Linked DNA regions of Ovis aries. The protein of the gene in region 1 purifies or fractionates together with the protein of each later gene. This does not show direct contact. Links are inferred from orthologs where the notes say so. Each region holds a gene or a part of one and is shown on either strand. Other genes may lie near its edges.

Region 1 (3,500 bases):
ATTAGGAAGTGCTGTTGTTGGGAGAGTGTGGAGCAGGCAGCCACAGTAAGGTACTGAGGACCCCAGTTCTGACCATGTCCACACCACAGGCACCTCTGAGCTTTGATTTAGGCACTTCTCCCCCAGGCGTTAATGAGCTTTGTCTGCAGACGGGTCGTAGGCCCTTTCCTGCTCCCTCCCAGTCCATCCTCTAGCATTTGTTCCCCCAGGTTTTGATGAGTTCTCTCTAGAGATGGGTCATAGGCCCTTTCCTGCTCCCTCCCAGCCCGTCTCCTAGCATTTCTGAGACCCCGCTCTGTGGCCAGCCCTACACATGGCATTCCAGGGGCCAGAGAAGATCCGTGACTCAGCCATTTCTCTTGGGTGGCTCTGTGTAGTAATAGAGTTAAATCCAATACTTCCTGTAAAACCATCAGAAGAGTAATTGGGCCGTCTCTACCTATTGAGGAGGTGATATCCCCAAAGTGGATGTTTTAAATCACATGCCTAGAACTTAGAACTAAATTTCCAAGAGAAATCATCCTCTCAGTGGTGCCTGTGCTTCCAGAAGAGCCTACAGAGTTCATGGTGTAAGAGAATTGACATTCTTAGGATCTACACAAGCAGGCATTTTGAGTGTGGAGTGGGCAGAGCGAGGGATGAAATGTAGGACCCAAGGCAGGGCAGGGTTTGCCGAGAGCTGGCCTCAGAAGCACTCTCCTCCTTCCTCGCTTGCCCCTCTTCCCCTACAGCCAGTGCTCTCAAGCCTCCCTCCTTCTCCCTGGGACCCTTCTTCCAGGAGTGTTCCACAGTTCAAAATTACAGTTGTCCCTTGGGATCCACGGGGGGTTGGTTCCAAGACCCAGATCCTGGGATGCTCAGTGCCCTTATAGAAAATGAGTGCAGCTGGCCCCTGTATCCTGGAATGCGGAGCCTGCACACATGGAAAGCCCTTGGTACAGCCGGCAAGCACACTCCTGGCCTTTCTCCAGTCTCAAGTAGCAGTTTAGAAACAAGCTTCTTGAGTGAGTTTATACTCATGTGGGAATGACTGAGAGCCCCAACCTTCCCATGGGAAACCAACTCAGAGATCTCCTCAGTGGTGGGATTTCAGTAGTGTGAAATGACCATGTGCAGTGGGGAAACCAGGGAGATCTGGTCTCAGGCTTTACCTTTGAGTTCCACTCACCTGCACCCTCCTGTTCTCTTCTGCCCTGAGAGACCCTTTCCAGGGACCCCAAGGGAGGGCCAGAAATGCATGGGTGATTGGGGGATGGGAGTGGTCCAGTGGCAATCTTCTGTACAGATGGGTCCCTGGCTAGTGGGGTTTTGTAGGGACTGAGAACAGGGCATCTTCTAAGCATAGCGGCTCAGCAGGAAGGGAAGTGAGGGTCTGTGCAGGAGGCCAGCTCCACCAGGGTGTTGACGGAGACTTGGAAGAACAGGGGCGGGGGCTTTGGAGAAAGGGAATCCCCCACCCTGGAGATGACAGAGACCTGGGTTTGAATGCCAGCCCATCACTTCGTTGGGTCCTGCGCCACTTAGTGGTGTTAGCTTGTCCAGGAAGTGGAGATACTGTCTTCTAGAGCCTAGTGTCAGGGCCTAGCCCACACACGGTCAGGCGCCAGCGAGTCCCCCACCTCACTGGCCTGCCTGCCCCTTCCCCCAGGTCATTGACAAGAACTCAGGTGGCTGGTGGTACGTGCAGATTGGTGAGAAGGAGGGCTGGGCCCCCGCGTCCTACATCGATAAGCGCAAGAAGCCCAACCTGAGCCGCCGCACGAGCACTCTGACACGGCCCAAGGTGCCCCCGCCAGCGCCACCCAGCAAGCCCAAGGAGGCCGACGAGGGTCCAGCCGGTCCCAACGAGAGCCAGGACTCCCCTCTGAGGCTCAAGTACGAGGAGCCCGAATACGACATCCCTGCCTTTGGCTTCGACTCAGAGCCGGAGCTGAGTGAAGAGCCCACGGAGGACAGTGGCTCAGGAGACAGGCGGCCCACCCAGCCCCGCAGGCCCTCGCCCGCCTCCTCACTGCAGCGCGCCCGCTTCAAGGTGGGCGGATCCACAGAGGACGTGGCCCTGGAGGAGGAGACCATCTACGAGAACGAGGGCTTCCGGCCATGTGTAGAGGACGGCCTGTCAGCCAGACGCTCCTCCCGAGACAGCGACTCCCCAGGGGGCTCCCCACTGTCCCTTGCCAGGAAAAATTCCCCCAAATCGGACTCCCCCAAATCATCCTCGCTTCTGAAGCTCAAGGCAGAGAAGAACGCCCAGGCAGAACTGGGGAAGAACCACTCCTCGGCCTCCTTTTCCTCGTCCATCACCATCAACACCACCTGCTCCTCCTCCTCCTCCTCCTCCTCCTCATCCTTGTCCAAGAACAGCGGGGACCTGAAGCCCCGTTCCGCCTCGGACGCGGGCATCCGTGGCACTCCCAAGGTCGGGGCGAAGAAGGATGCCGACCCAAAGGTTGGGCTGACCTCATGTGCCCGGGCCAAGCCTTCAGTGCGGCCCAAGCCGTTCCTGAACCGCGCAGAGTCCCAGAGTCAAGAGAGGATGGACATCAGCACTTTACGGCGCCAGCTGCGGCCCACGGGCCAGCTCCGGGGCGGCCTCAAGGGCTCCAAGAGCGAGGATTCCGAGCTGCCCCCCCAGACAGCCTTCGAGGGTCCCAGCGAGGGGTCCAGGAGAGGCTCGGCTGACCTCATCACCCTCCCTGCTGCCTCGCCCCCCTGTCCCACCAAGAAGGGGCGGGAAGGGCAGGCCACCTCCTACACCACATGCAGTGCCTACCAGAAGGTCCAGGACTCGGAGATCAGCTTCCCCGCGGGCGTGGAGGTACAGGTGCTTGAAAAGCTGGAAAGCGGCTGGTGGTACGTGAGGTTTGGGGAGCTGGAGGGCTGGGCCCCCGCCCACTATCTGGTGCTCGGCGAGAAAGAGCCATCCGACCCGCCTGGCAAAGAGACGGACACAGTGGCCCCCAAGAGCAAGCAGAACGAGGGCAAGTCAGACAGCCTGGAAAAAATCGAGAAGCGCGTCCAAGCGCTCAACACCGTCAACCAGAGCAAGAGGGCCACGCCGCCCATCCCCTCCAAGCCGCCCGGGGGCTTCATCAAGACCTCGGGCGCCGGGGCGGTGAAGATGAGGAACGGCGTGCGGCAGGTGGCTGTCAGGCCCCAGTCGGTGTTCGTGTCCCCGCCACCCAAGGACAGCAACCTGTCCTGTGCCCTGAGGAGGAACGAGTCGCTCACAGCCACCGACAGCCTCCGAGGCGTCCGCCGGAACTCCTCCTTCAGCGCCGCCCGCTCTGCAGCCGCAGAGGCCAAGGGCCGCCTGGCTGAACGTGCTGCCAGCCAGGGCTCGGAGCCCCCCCTGCTGCCCACTCAGCGCAATGGTATCCCCGTGTCCCCTGTGCGCCCCAAGCCCATTGAGAAGTCCCAGTTCATCCACAACAACCTCAAAGATGTGTACGTCTCGATCGCGGACTATGAAGGGGACGACGAGACTGCGGGCTTCCAGG
Region 2 (3,500 bases), on another chromosome or scaffold:
ACACTTTGACATAATTTCTTACTGGTATTTTTTATACACATATATTTGTGGCATTGAAATCATGTCATATACACAAGTTTGTATCCTTTCCTTTTCCTAAAATATCCTGAGAATTTCACAGATCATGAAAAATCCTACAAAAGCATCATTTGCAAAGGTTGTTTAGTATTGTGTTATATGAATGCACATTACTCTCTTTAACTGAACCCCTACAGTTGTATTATTTCTGGTTTGACATTATTGTAAACACCACTGCAACAAAAGTGTATTTGTACACAGAACACGTATTTTCTTAGCATAGATTCCTATCATCAGAATTATTGAGGCAAAGAATAGAACTGTCTCTGTTTCTTTATATGACTTGTTTTCTGATTATAAAAGGTAATACGTATTCTTTGTCAAAAAATTGGAAAAAGAAGACAGTGAAATCACCCATAGTCCCATCATCTAGAGACAACTTTTTTTCAAATTTATTTTAATTGGAGGCTAATTACTTTACAATATTGTAGTGGTTTGTGCCATACATTGACATGAATCAGCCATGGGTGTACATGTGTTCCCTATCCTGAACCCCCCTCCCACCTCCCTCCCCATCCCATCCCTCCGGGTCATCCCAGTGCACCAGCCCTGAGCAGCCCGTCTCATGCATTGAACCTGGACTGGAGATCTGTTTCACATATGATAATATACATGTTTTAATGTTATTCTCTCAAATCATCCCACCCTCGTCTTCTCCCACAGAGTCCGAAAGACTGTTCTATACATCTGTGTCTCTTTTGCTGCAGAGACAACTTTTTTAAAAAAATTATTTATTTTTGGCTGCAGTGCGTCTTCCTTGCTGCAGGAGGGCTTTCTCTAGTGGTGAACAGGAGCTACTCTCTAGCTACAGTGCTCAGGCTTCTAGTTACAGTGGCTTTTCTTGTTGCATACATAGCATGAGCTCTAGGTGCGCGGGCTTTAGTAGTTGCAGCTAACCGCTCTAGAGCACAAGCTCCATAGTATGGCACACGGACTTAGTTGTCCTATGACATGAGATCTTCTCAGAACAGGGATCAAACCCATAAAACCCTGCATTGGCAGGCAGATTCTTTACCACTGAGCCATCAGAGAAGCTCCTGAGACAATTTGTTAAACATGAGTATATGTCCTTCCAGTTACAGGTGTAACTATTACTGTTATTTTGTTAGTGGTAATAATAATCTTAAGCTTGCATTTTATTGGCTGCCAGCTATTTCATGTCCTGTGGTTCTGCTACTACTGTGGCATTAATCGAGTCATTTTCTGATTTTAAGTGATGTTGCTATGGACATCTTTGAGGCTGGCACTTTCTGGAATGGGGAGGGTGTGGCCAGACCAGGAGGAGGTATTCAGGGAGCAGAGAAGCTCCCAAAGCCTTTTTTCTGCTAGCCCCTATCTGACCTCCCACTCTGTCTACAGAGTCTCTGGAGCTGATAGCCACAGCAGCAGAGCACTCTAATGCTGCCATCCGCAAAATGGTGAGTGGCCCCTCTAGCCCCTGCCTTTCCTTGGCCAGCCACCTATCTCCATCCTGGGGAGTGGGAGGCTTGCAACCTGTGGACATCTGAGGGGAGGCCGGAACCTCAAACCTTGCCTTTTACTCACTACCAGGAGCGAATGCACAAGCTGCTGAAGGTGTACGAGTTGCTAGGAGGTGAGGAAGACATTGTCAGCCCCACCAAAGAGCTCATAAAAGAAGGCCACATCCTTAAGCTGTCAGCAAAGAATGGGACCACTCAAGACCGATACCTCATACTAGTAAGTGCCAGGGGTAGGGGTGCAAGTGGGCCACACCACCCCCACCCCGCCATGCCACATTGACCCGGTACTCACTCAAGGCTGTACTTCCTGCTCTCCATTCCTTCCTCTACTAATGCATTGCATTTGTACTACCTATACTGGGCATTTTTTTCTCAACTTTACAGATTATGTAACTAAGACTTAGAGAGAACTGACTTGCCCAAGGCCACCCAACTAGGAAGTGACTCCCATGCCTAGGCTCTTTCCTTGCAACCTTTGTGCCCAATCTGGTCTGTTTTTTCTATCTATTGCTTTGAGTCCCCAGCAGTAAAGCTTCAGGAGTCCTATAAGGGAAGGGAGCTGAGCCATAGCCCTTGTGGGGCCTCCACACATACATCCAAAACCTTTTCCTTCCTAGTTCAACGACCGCCTCCTTTACTGTGTGCCCAGGCTGCGGCTCCTTGGCCAGAAGTTTAGCGTGCGGGCACGCATTGATGTAGATGGCATGGAGGTGAGCACCAGGAGGTGGGAAGGGGGACCTGGAGTGGGACCTTGGTGCTGGGAGGAACAAAGATGTTCTGACTCTGACCCCCAAGTGTGTGCATGTGTGCAGAGGGCGAGGGCCCTGTGGAGCTCAGTAGGTGAGCTCAGTAGTTCACCAAGCCCTTTTCTCTCTCCATTCAGCTGAAGGAAAGTTCCAACCTCAATCTGCCTCGGACCTTCCTGGTGTCAGGAAAGCAGCGCTCCCTGGAGCTCCAGGCCAGGTACTTGCCCTTGCCTATATCTTCTTTCCAGCCTCCTGTTGCCTTCAGATATGCTGAGGCATTCTAGACCTTGTGCCAGGGGACTGGCTACTCCCTAGAGGAGAGAGTATTCCAGAGAAAGGATGGGTCCCTTTCCCCAAAGACGCTTGCTCTTCTGATGGGTTTTGTTAGAGGAGAGGGAAGAATGAGATAGTAATCCAAACATGAGTAACAGTAGCACAAATAGTTTATTGTGGATTCAGAGACTTAAGAGAAATAACAACCAAATGCAGTGCCTGGTCCATGATAGGAGTCTTATTTGAGAAAAACAGCCCTAAGAGACATTTTCAAGACAGTAGGGAAAATCCTAAACATGAACTGGGCATTAGCTACCAGGGCATTATTGCTAACTTTCTCAGGTATGATAATGGTATATGAGGATATAGGGGAATGGCCTTTTTTTTTTGGTGATGCATGATGATGATTTAGTATCATGATATCTGTAACTTATTTTTAAATGATTTATATCAGCCTATATATATATATATATATATATATATATATATACACACACACATATGTATAAGATATAGCAAAATATTTTTTAAATTTGCATCTATGTAGTGAATATATATTTAATGTACTTGTGTTTTCCTATCTACTTTTCTGTATGCTTGAAATTTTTCATAATAAAAAATCTTTACAGAACAAATTTTAAAATAATGTCCAGCCATTTAACAAAGGGGCCTTCATATCCATTCTCTACTTGAATGATTATAATAATAGTTCACATTTAATGAAGACTTGCTCTTGTGCCAGAGGCACAGTTTTAAGTTAATTTTAACTTAAGTTTAAATTTAATAGCTGAACTCTCAAAACCCTTGAAGTAGCCTCTGTTACTATCAACCCCATTTTACAGATGAGGAAACTGAGGCACAGAAGAGTTATACACCTTTCCCAAGATCCCACAGCTAGAAAGAAGCAGAGCTGGAATTGGTG

Evidence for each region.
Region 2: the proteins of SH3PXD2A (region 1) and FGD1 purify together in Homo sapiens (affinity purification with mass spectrometry; 3 studies listed by BioGRID and IntAct, with this or other methods). This does not show direct contact. The link is inferred for Ovis aries from reciprocal best matches to the Homo sapiens genes SH3PXD2A and FGD1.

The regions. Positions count from the first base shown.
Region 1 is NC_056075.1:23,856,660-23,860,159, reverse strand, and holds part of SH3PXD2A (SH3 and PX domain-containing protein 2A), read left to right. Parts: intron 1-1,648; coding exon 1,649-3,500. UniProt on the Homo sapiens protein: Adapter protein involved in invadopodia and podosome formation, extracellular matrix degradation and invasiveness of some cancer cells. Binds matrix metalloproteinases (ADAMs), NADPH oxidases (NOXs) and phosphoinositides.
Region 2 is NC_056080.1:52,484,052-52,487,551, reverse strand, and holds part of FGD1 (FYVE, RhoGEF and PH domain-containing protein 1), read left to right. Parts: intron 1-1,437; coding exon 1,438-1,496; intron 1,497-1,629; coding exon 1,630-1,776; intron 1,777-2,176; coding exon 2,177-2,269; intron 2,270-2,442; coding exon 2,443-2,522; intron 2,523-3,500. UniProt on the Homo sapiens protein: Activates CDC42, a member of the Ras-like family of Rho- and Rac proteins, by exchanging bound GDP for free GTP. Plays a role in regulating the actin cytoskeleton and cell shape.